Macaca mulatta: one gene and its partners. The main gene of each other region encodes a partner of the protein of the gene in region 3 in a complex. Links are inferred from orthologs where the notes say so. Each region holds a gene or a part of one and is shown on either strand. Other genes may lie near its edges. The genes, in order: POLR1F, POLR1E and POLR1H.

What was found.
Region 1: POLR1H (region 3) and POLR1F share a complex: the UniProt entries of both Homo sapiens proteins name them as parts of the RNA polymerase I (Pol I) complex. The link is inferred for Macaca mulatta from reciprocal best matches to the Homo sapiens genes POLR1H and POLR1F.
Region 2: POLR1H (region 3) and POLR1E share a complex: the UniProt entries of both Homo sapiens proteins name them as parts of the RNA polymerase I (Pol I) complex. The link is inferred for Macaca mulatta from reciprocal best matches to the Homo sapiens genes POLR1H and POLR1E.

What each region holds. Positions count from the first base shown.
Region 1 is NC_133408.1:108,567,301-108,571,049, forward strand, and holds the start of POLR1F (DNA-directed RNA polymerase I subunit RPA43), read left to right. Parts: upstream 1-1,203; 5' UTR 1,204-1,224; coding exon 1,225-1,478; intron 1,479-3,749. UniProt on the Homo sapiens protein: Component of RNA polymerase I (Pol I), a DNA-dependent RNA polymerase which synthesizes ribosomal RNA precursors using the four ribonucleoside triphosphates as substrates.
Region 2 is NC_133420.1:62,108,558-62,112,206, reverse strand, and holds part of POLR1E (DNA-directed RNA polymerase I subunit RPA49), read left to right. Parts: intron 1-2,252; coding exon 2,253-2,334; intron 2,335-3,099; coding exon 3,100-3,231; intron 3,232-3,649. UniProt on the Homo sapiens protein: Component of RNA polymerase I (Pol I), a DNA-dependent RNA polymerase which synthesizes ribosomal RNA precursors using the four ribonucleoside triphosphates as substrates.
Region 3 is NC_133409.1:152,983,825-152,987,573, forward strand, and holds the start of POLR1H (DNA-directed RNA polymerase I subunit RPA12), read right to left. Parts: upstream 2,517-3,749; coding exon 2,372-2,516; intron 2,126-2,371; coding exon 2,025-2,125; intron 1,818-2,024; coding exon 1,708-1,817; intron 1-1,707. UniProt on the Homo sapiens protein: Core component of RNA polymerase I (Pol I), a DNA-dependent RNA polymerase which synthesizes ribosomal RNA precursors using the four ribonucleoside triphosphates as substrates. Can mediate Pol I proofreading of the nascent RNA transcript.

The DNA of each region.
Region 1 (3,749 bases), on a different chromosome or scaffold from region 3:
TGAGATGTGGGGGGCTACTGTAGTGAATAATACAGATATTATGGTCCCCACTTTAGTGAGTGTAGGAATCTATTGACGGAACAGGCAAGCAAATGGCAGTTAATATAAAATTAACATTTAAAAAACATGCATGGGTAACTACCTAATCCTTATAGAGAAAGAGGTGTGGGGTGGTTGAAAACTCTTTGCAAAGGGACAGAATGTAAAATCTAAGCTAAAAATTGATACGTGAGGAGAATTTACCCTTGTGAAAATATTATATTTCCCGGTAGAAGGAACAGCATAAGACTGCAGAAAGAGTGACCTGAAAGTGGATCAAGGGGCATAATATTAGGGTGGGGAGTGTGACAAATGAAGCTGAAGAGAGAGGCTGCGTGCCCACACAGATCACAAAATGGCCTTGTATAAGCATTTTTCAGGAGTTTGTGTTGTCCTAGAGAAAGTGGGGTGCCTATGTAGGGCTTAAACAGGGCACAACACAATCATATGTGTTTCAGGGAAGATCTGGCTGCCCCAGGGCGTCCTCCTGACCATTGAGCTAGGCTTCCACAGGCAGGGAGTCCTGTGGTTTTGTCGGCAGGGAAAGAGAATAGTGTCCAAACAGAATGATATATCCACTTTGGGCAATACAGGCCTTCAGGCTGATTTAATATTTGGGAAAACAAAAGAGGATCCGAGGCTGACAGGTTGGCTGTGGTATAATTCCCTGATTTAGCATGTGCATAATGAGGAGAGAAGTGGGACAGGAGAGAACTAGTAGGTTCGTTTTAAGATATGTTGCATTAGAGTTATCAGGCCTGCTTCTTAGGATTTCGTGTCCTGCATAAAATACACTCCATAAATATTTTGATTTTTTATTGTACAGTCCAAGCTTGTAAAATTCTACCAAACCACCTTACTACTGGAAATGATCAAAGTGAAAACCCCCCTTTTTAAGCTGCCTACTTAATCCAATAAGCTTCTGTACGAAAACACATATTTGCCTGCCCTTAAAAGAGCAGACAGTTGACTTTCCTGCATGCTCAATGCATATCCCAGGCTCTAAGCTCCCGTCCTCGAAGCGCGAAAATACGGTTCCCCCTGCCGGCCAGAGCGGCGTAATACAGCGTAAGGAGGAGAAATTCCTAGGGGCGTGGTAGTTGGTGGATGACGTAAAAAGAGCGTCGGGGACAGGCGATTGTGCTTGCGTCAACGGCGCGCGCCGTGGGAACCTTGACAAGCGGCATGGCTGCGGGTTGTTCAGAGGTGCCGCGGCCAACGGCGGCTTCTGATGGGTCTCTGGTAGGGCAGGCTGGCGTCCTGCCTTGCCTAGAGTTGCCGACTTATGCCGCTGCTTGTGCGCTGGTGAACAGTCGCTACTCATGCCTGGTGGCTGGGCCGCACCAAAGGCACATCGCGCTGTCTCCCCGCTACCTGAACAGGAAACGCACTGGCATTCGAGAACAGCTTGATGCGGAGCTCCTTCGCTATTCTGAGAGGTACCGATCTCTTTGCCTGTTCCTTCTTTTGTGCACGGGAAGTAGCAGCAGGTAGATATGCTGACAACGCAGCAGAAAGGGGGCAAATAGTAAAGGTCGCATTGCCCCCCCAGAGCTTAGCCCCGTGGAATTCTAGAGTCGCGATCCGCCCCTCAAGGCCAGTACCACTGTGGTGAAGATCTTTATAGGGTCCCTTTCATAGATAGAGAAGAAAACTTAAAGATGAAGTTCAGGTGTCGGCGGAAGGAGTGGAGATTCTCGCTCCAGAATCCTGGTGTAGGGGTAGGAACAGACCAGGGGTCTGGAGACCTAGTAGGCCCAGTTCTGTTTGGCATTCAACGTTTCATTTATCCCGTTCCGGATGATGTTTTCTCATTTGACGATAAAAATTTGGTTTGCAGTGCTTAAGTAGATTCTCATTCCATCGAAGATTGCACATGAAGCATTAGTACAACCGTTCTACCTGTAAAACGTGAAGCACGTTTTTTTCTTACTGTATTTCAATCTGGTAATTTCCCCATTTTCTCTTCTTTTGGACCTGAGTTGTTTTTAAGACGATTTATTCAATCGAACTAATGAGCCTGTTGCTTTTGGGAGAGAAAAAAACAAAAGGTATGCATTTATATTACGGTATTCAGAAGTGCCTTGAAAACAGAATTACAGAGGTGTGTGGCGGGGGGCGCGGGCATGTGCTTCAGTATTCCTCTGGACTATACTTTGGTTCAAAAGCGAGGTTCTAATACTAGAGTGAATGGATTCTTTAGGGATTCATGACTGCCCTTCAGGAATTCTTATGTGAAGTTCCTTGGGCACTGTATCGGAAGCTTTTATCACTTTCTTAAGGGATCCTTGACCTCCACACACAGGTTAATAATCAAGCATCTCCAGAATATACAGCTTCTTCCAAGCACCAATATACACTTCTCGTATGTTTATATTATATACCGAACACTTGAGATACAAAAACAAACAAAAAATGAAATCCCTCTTTCAAGGAGCTTTAAGCTGTAGTAGAGATACAAATACAAGCCAATAAATAGTAAGGTGTTAAAATTTGACAGAAATCTAACAAGATAAGGAGTGTTGAATTGGGATCTTGGGACCTCTGAGAACAACTTGAGTGAAGACGGTACTTTCCCATGGTAGCATTCCAGGCAAAGAGTGGCATAAACAAACGGATACTGGATGTGAACCGGTATGCTTTGCCCAGAGAACCGTATCTATTATATAAGTAGAATAAGGTTTATGTCAGGGGAAAGGCATTGGATGCCATTGGAGACGAGGGCAGGGGTGACTCAGAGAGGATGGCCATTTTGCTTTTCCCTTCCTGTCATTGCCAGTTTTTGTTCTTTTGGGGGTAAGGTGGGGTTGTTGTTGTTTTTCCTTTTGTGTTTCTGTTTTCATAGGCAGGGTTAGTGCTTCATCCTCTCAGTACCCTTTAACTCTGAGACTTGGTACACTTTTGAGAACGCAGTACTTATCTGCAGTTCCTGGCATATCAGATTTGCAGTTTAAGAAACAGTACTTGTTAGCCTTACTTAATGGTTAGCTACCAAATAGGATGAGAAAGTGGACAAGGAGAGGAATTAAGATCATGTTATAATTGTTCAAGAGAAAATGATTAGAGAGGATGGATTTGAGAGATTAAAGGATATACAAAGTAGTCATAACATCTGGAAACACAAGCAACCATCCTGTTTTCTGTAACCGTTTTGTATTGCCTGCATTTGACAGGCTAGGGCGGGAAATAACGAAATCTCGCGGAGTGACTCTGAACAGATCTGGCCACCACTCCTTTCATATTACTTGGATATGCTGAAGACCCCTGGTGAAATTATGCACCAGGTGAAAATCAGGCACCACACTTTGAACTATGCATTACTAATGAGGGACAAAACATTGAACATACAGTATTAAAGAACTAAAGTGAGGCTACCATCTTGCCCTGATACCTATTTAGGATGGTATCTGAAAAACAAAAGTGAAGAAGAAAAAGTATATAGTGTTGGGTGCCTGTGTTCACATATCTGATGACTCTTAACAAAATCCCCCTTGAATTTATATATTGCTAAATTCCTGAACAATTTAATATAGATTAAAAATATGCAAAGATGGCTGTGTGTTGATGTTAAGAGTTAAATTAGGTTCCTAGCTATTTGTAAACAGATTTGTCCTTTTATTCAAAAGTCAGAGCTAAGGATATTTCCTCATTGTACCGACTGTCCTGTACATGACAGACTCTTTTCTGCCCTGGCTTGTGCAAAGTTTGTG
Region 2 (3,649 bases), on a different chromosome or scaffold from region 3:
GGTCAAATAAAATGAAAATTTTAAGGGACTGTTAGAACAAACATCAGCCGTGTGTGTGTGTGTGTGTGTGTGTGTGTGTGTGTGTGGAGAGAGCGCTTATGAGTTACACATATGTATCTTGAAAGCTTGTGGCAGGTTTGTGTTGTGTCAGCTTATTTCTAACAGGAGAGCGTCAATCTGATGGTAACCCAGTGTCACCTGTAGCCAGGACGCTTTGTGGGTCACACCCTCATACCTACCCAGAGTTGGAAACCCAGGAGATGTCTGTGGTTTTAGGCACAAGGCATATTTAGTTGTTACTGTGATTGGGCATCCAATAGTCTATACTCCTATTTTTTAGTATAGTCATGTGTCACTTAATGATGGGGATATGTTCTGAGAAATGTATCCTTAGGCAATTTTGTCATTGTACAAACATCACAGAGTATATTTGCATAAACCTAGATGGTATAGCCTACTACACACCTAGGCTATATGCTATAAGCTGCTGTTCCTAGGCTGCAAACCTATACAGCATGTTACTATGCTGAATATTATAGGCAATTGTAACACAATGGCATTTGTGTATCTAAATGTATCTAAACAGAAAAGGAATAGTAAAACTATGATATTATAATCTTTTGGGACCGGCTGGGCATGTTGGCTCATGCCTATATCTCAGCACTTTGAGAGGCCAAGGTGAGAGGATCACTTCAGGGCAGGAGTTTGAGACCAGCCTGGGCAACATACCAAGACACTGTCTCTACAAAAAAATAAAAATATTAGCTGGGGTGATGCACGCCTGTACTCCCAGCTATTTGGGAGGCTGAGGCAGGAGGAGTGTTTGAGCCTAGGAGTTCAAGGTTACAGTGAGCTATGAATGCACCACTGCCTCAGTGACAGCAAGACCCTGTGTCAAACAAAATCTTACAGGACCATTGTCACATATGTGGCCTGTCATTCACCAAAAGAACGTAATGTGGGACATGACTGTATTTGCTTAGTCATGCTTTTTTTTTTTTTTGAGACAGGATCTCGCTCTGTCACCCAGGCTGGGGTGCAGACCTATGATCTTGACTCAGTACAACCTCCATCTCCTGGGTTCAAGCAGTTCTGCCTCAGCCTCCTGAGTAGCTGGGATTACAGGCGGGCGTCACCATGCCCAGCTAATTTTTGTGTTTTTAGTAGAGACGGGGTTTTTCCATGTTGGCCAGGCTGGTCTTGAACTCCTGACCTCAGGTGATCCACCCTCCTTGGGCTCCCACAGTGCTGGCTGGGATTACAGGTGTGAGCTACCGCACTCAGCTTGTATTTGCTTAGTTCTTTTTTTTTTTTAGATGGCGTCTCGCTCTGTCACCCAGGCTGGAATACAGTGGCTCGATCTTGGCTCCCTGCATCCTCCACCTCCTGGGTTCAAGGGATTCTCCTGCCTCAGCCTCCCAAGTAGCTGGGGTTATAGGTGCCCGCCACCACACCTGGCTAATTTTTGTGTTTTTAGTAGAGACAGGGTTTCACCATGTTGGTCAGGCTGGTCTTGAACTCCTAACCTCATGATCTGCCCGCCTTGGCCTCCCAAAGTGCTGGGATTACAGGCGTGAGCCACCATGCCCAGCCAGTTTTTTTTTGTTTTGTTTCGTTTTGTTTTGTTTTGAGATGGAGTCTCACTCTATCGCCCAGGCTAGAGTGCAGTGGCGCAATCTCGTCTCACTGCAACCTCTGCCTCCCAGGTTCAAGCTGTTGTTCTGCCTCAGCCTCCTGAGTAGCTGGGATTACACCATACTCAGCTAATTTTTGTATTTTTAGTGGAGGTGGGGTTTCACTGTGTTGGCCAGGCTGGTCTTGAACTCCTGACCTCAGGTGTTCTGCCTGCCTCGGTCTCCCAAAGTGTTGGGATTACAGGTGTGAGCCACTGCATCTGGTCACTTAGTTCTTATTTTCACATTCCAATTCCAGCTTTCCCTGTCTCTCCCTGAGCTTTCAGCACAATTTTTGTTTTCTAAGGTCATGTTAAATCTACGTCCTTAGGCCTCCGGCTGTGTTTTCTTGTCACTGCCCCATCACCAGCATCTCTTGTGCAGGGCAAGCTGCAGGCTGAAGCACACCAAGCATGTTTTCATTTCGATGTGGCCGTTCTGCTTTGTGGGCCCTGCTTCTCTTACCACCTGGTTCTGGTCATTACAGTGGCCCAGCTCCTGGCTTTTCTCTCAACTCATGGTGGAGGTGTGGCCTGAGGGTTTTGAGAGAAAATGATCAAACTCAACTTTGTGTTGTAGGTGCCCTGGGACCTGGAGTTCCCCACATCATCAACACCAAACTGCTGAAGCACTTTACCTGTTTGACGTACAACAATGGCAGGTCAGGGGGTGGTTTCTGGGATTTTTCCTGTGCAGGAGAAAGTGAGTGAGGGTTGGGAGTGAGCAGCAGGGGCTTGGACTCAATTCCACGTCCACAGAGATGCAGTGCTGAAGAGACTGCTGCCATTTGGAAGGCTCCTGGGGCCCCAGTAAGTTTAGCAAACGCTAAATATGACATACTCTGTCCTTTTTGGAAAAGTATTACTTTTGGGGAATCTTAGAAGCTCTGGGAAGTCCTCCAATAAAGACTTGTTTTACTTCACATACTTTTGAAGAGCCCTTCCTGATGTCCCACAGAGCTGGTGTTTGCGGAAAGGCAGTGTTGCAGAAAAGGGCAGCCCAACTCGGTGACTCAGGAAAGACCCGCAAGCGTTGCCCCGGGCTTCCTTCCTGCCATTTGCCTGGAGTATGTTTTCTGCTCTAGAGTGTGCTTGGAAGAATCAGCACAGCTGATTTCGGGATGATTGTTTTCCCAGCAGCCCTGCTGAGCAGGCGGGGACAGACTCAGCGCTAGCGGTGTCCAGGGAGAGTGTAGGCCCAGCCTTCTCTGTCTGCCTCAGAGGGAAACATGGACTGGCCCACTGCTCCACTGTGCGTGAGGCCCAGGAACCTTGGAAGGGCAAAGAAGTCACCCACATTCCTTTTCCTTTCCTGAAATTGGGAAGACATTCAGTGCATATGAGAATAGGGTTGAATGTTCTTATTTTGCTTTTGGAGAAATTGAGAGTTTAATTTTGTTTCTCCTTTATTGCCACTGATTTTCTAGATTACGGAACTTAATTTCGGATTCTATGAAGGCGAAGATTACTGCATATGTGATCATACTTGCCTTGCACATACGTGACTTCCAAATTGACCTGACAATGTTACAGGGGGACTTGAAGCTCAATGAGAAAAGGTGAGCACAACAGAATAAAGAGCTCCCTGCAGGGTGCCTTGATGTCTTATTTCTGGTACCACTGGAAAGCATGAGGCACCACCAAGGGAACTGAGGATGTTTAAATGTGGGAACAACTTGGAACTAGAGGACTATTTTCAGTGAATGAATCATTGACTGAATGAGTAACTAGACATTACTGAGTGCCTTCTCTGTGCTAGGCACGGTCTTAAATTATGTCATTATCTCACTGATTTCCCTAGAAAACAATTGAAAAATCAGGCTCAGAAAAGTACATGACTTTCTCAAGGTTACACAACCAAGAGGGGAGTAGTTGGCCTTGAGACCTGAGCCTTTCCATAACATTCTGTTCCTGAATAACCAGGCAGCCTCCATTCTCTGAATTGCTGTCACAGGGGAGCGGGATTCTGTATGGGTC
Region 3 (3,749 bases):
AAAAGAAACACAAATGCTGAGAATACAACACTTACCCAAGGCCTCAGAGAATTCCTACAGTTCAAGTTCTAAAAAACTCAAATTTATTGTCAAAAATTACAAAACAAAGAAAAAAGCACTATGAGAGAGACAGCAGAAACAGACAGCAGCATCAGACACACAAAATCCACGGATATCAGAATTATGAGACATAGAATATAATAACCACATTTAATATTTTAAATATATAAAGACTAGTAAAAGGAACAATTTAAAATATTATTAAGGAACTGAGAATTATTTAAAAATTGAGATTTGAAAAGTAATTAAATAGAACTCAAAATAATAACAATAGTAAAAAATAATAATACTTGAAATAAACTGAAGACAGAATTAGTGACATGGAAGAGGAACCTGAAGAAATTACTCAGAAGGTGGCATAAAGAGAAAAGCGATTGAAAATATGAAAAGAAGGCGAGAGAAATGGAGGACAGAAGAGAGAAATCTCATTCTAGTAACTAATTAGAGGTCCAGAATGTGAGGACTGAGAACATGGGGGAAAGAGAATATTAAAAGAGATGATGGCTGATAATTTTCCAAGGTTGATGAAAAAAAAAATCCACTCTAGGCCAGGCGCAGTGGCTCACACCTGTAATCCCAGCACTTGGGGAGGCCGAGGCGGGTGGATCACAAGGTCAGGAGATCGAGATCATCCTGGCTAACACAGTGAAATCTTGTCTCTACTAAAAAACACAAAAAATTAGCCGGGCGTGGTGGCGGGCACCTGTAGTCCCAGCTATTCAGGAGGCTGAGGCAGGAGAATGGCATGAACCCGGGAGGCGGAGCTTGCAGTGAGCGGAGAACACACCACTGCACTCCAGCCTGGGAGACAGAGCGAGACTCCGTTTCAAAAAAAAAAACAAAAAACAACAATGCACTCTCAGTTTCAGAAAGTCCAACAAATCCCAAACAGAATAAAAGAAAATCACATTTTGATATACTATAGTGACTGCAGAACACCAAAGACAAAGATGAGGTCTTAAAAGCATTCAGAAAGCCCATGTTCTCTAAATCATGTGTGACTAATTCTCTCCAAAGTAAAGCTACCTTGACTGCGGTTGAAGACTGCAGTATAAGACGCTGACCACTAAACAATACTTGCTTCTTCTGGTTTTTTTTATTCATTTCCTTTTAAATATCCTAAAAGAAGGTCAGGCAGGGTGGCTCATGCCTGTAATCCCCAGCACTTTGGGATGCTGAGGTGGGTTGATTGAGCTCAGGAGTTCAAGACCAGCCTGGGAAACAGAGAGAAACCCTATCTCTACTAAAAATACAAAAAACAAAACAAAACAAAAAGCCAGGTGTGGTGGCACGTGCCTGTGGTCCCAAAGCTATTTTGGAGGCTGAGGTGGGAGGATTACCTGAGCCCAGGAGGCGGAGGTTGCAGTGAGCCAAGATTGCCTCACTGCACTCCAGGCTAGGTGACAGAGCAACACCCTGTCCGTAAAAAAAAAAAAAAACCTAAAAGGTTTATTTCACTGGTTACAAAAAGGGTTAAAAAAGTGTAATTTAAAAAAATAAAAACTACAAATCTCCCTCTTACCAGAACTGCACAGAAATAAGGGATGGGACGAAAGGACACAGCCGTTTAGTACAAAAAAATAAATCACTGGATTTGTTTATTAGTTAGCAAACAGACTGAGCAAAGGGAGGGGAAAGGATACCCACTTGCAGTTGGTACAGGTGTAGAAGACAGTTTGCCCTTCATCGGCTGAACGCATCTGTCTGGTGTGGTATGCCATTCCTTCATGACCACATCGAGGGCAGCGCCTGTCAACCTGGGAAGAAACTGGTGGGTTATGGAGGCCAGGTCATATCATACCCTTACTTCCCACAGGAATCAGGCGATCACGCCTCTCAAACATCGATGCTTTACATCTTTTCCCACTTGGAATTGGGCACAAAACTCTCCAGATCTCTGCAATCACTCCTCCATTTCTTTCCTACCCACCTTATGGAGCCAGTTCTTGATCTCATTAACTTACCACAGGTCCCTGGCACTCAGGCCCTTCCTCCACCGACATAGGCATGGCTGTCCCCAGTTGGTGGAACACAACTGAAGTCTTCACAACCTTCCCCTCAAAGTCTGCACAGGCAAGTAAGACGGGTTATGGAGACAACCTGAGGGAGCTGACACCGGAAACTTCCCCTCTCCCCTGGCTGGTTAGGCCAGGAGGCCCTATATCCTTTCCCTCAGTTTTCATCGCTGAACCAAATGTACAACTGCCTGATGTCCTGCTCTAGGATCCCCTTCTCAACCCAACCGATCTTGAGTTCCCCAAGCTTCCGATCCTGGGCCCTCCGCCAGGACCCCTGTGTACAAGCCTCTCACCCCGAACGTTGATGTTGAAGCCACAGCGAGTACAGGTGACCGTATCCTGAGCCCCGGGCAGAGGCAGGACCGAGCCGCAATCTGAACAGAAATCCAAGTCCGACTGAAAGCTGGAGCAAGTACCGGCGAGGTCCATGACAGACATGCAGTCGGGTCTGAGGAGGGAGTTAGAAGTTTATTAACAAAAGAGAGAAGAGTTCCTGCCCCAGAGGTGGTAACTATTCCGTCCCAGGACGTAGGAGTATATAACCCGAGTCCTCCTCCCACGCACGCCTCCTGCCTCTGCGACCAAGGAGCCGAAACGCCCGGAACTCCCAGACAGCGTCGGGTACTAAAAGGACTTGGAACCCTTTCCTGGGGCCGGCGAGAGGAGCTGGCCAACTCCGTGGGCTAGAGCGCCAGCTCTGCGCCCGCGGCGGGGCAGCGAGCTAGAGCCGGCTAGAGCGTCACGCTTTCACGCTGACGATTGGCTGTGACGTCATAATTAATTGCGTACCGTGTCTCGGAAGCCTTAGAGATGGAGAGTCACCACTTCTAAGGGAGGTTGGGGCTCAACTTTCAGGCTGGTACTGAGACGTTGAGCACAAAATTGGTAACCAATGCTGCGCTTCCAGCAAATTTTCCCACCAGCACCGAATCCTGGGATATTTATTCTCTGTTTCACATCCTACGGGAACCCAATCGCGGGGGAATATCCTCCTGAAAACCGTACTTTGCTGAATAATGACTTCTTTGGATTAGAGAACTACAACTCCCCTGGGTCCTGAGCTGGTATTTCCCTTTTGCGGCTGCACAGTAGTTAAAAACAAAGCTAAGTGTTCTGGCATGTATAGTTCTAGCGTTCCTTGGGTCCCGCTGGCGAGCGTGGGCTTTCTGCAGAGCGCAGCCGGCCTGTGTGCTTTGCGGACGGTTCACCGCGCTTGGAAAGGGGTGAGTCGGCTTCTTGAGGGACAGCAAGTGGTGAGGGTGAAGGCCAGAGGAATCCTTAGTCCCACGGGACGAAAGGAAGCAGGGATGAAGTGGGACACTTGAGAAGGGGCTCAGGACTTTGGAGGTGGTAGAACAGAAGAGCTTGGGGCTTCCCCTCCTTCGACTCCTGCCAGATAAGTGAGGCTAGCAGTAGTCAAGAAGCTCATTAAGTAGGATTTCATAAGACTTAGGTCGAGTTTGGCTTTTAGTTGTGCCTGCCGCTTATCGAACTCTTAATTCATTATTCGTCATCCATTAAGTGGACAGCTGACATTTCCCTGATCTTTTATAAAACATGGGAATAAGTTTCTTTCGGAAATCTTGCTATTTTCGTTACTCTGTAACTTATATTCGAAGTAGAAACTTTCCCTGAAGGGGCAGCTTGTCGTTGTTTACTAGTTTCCTGCTA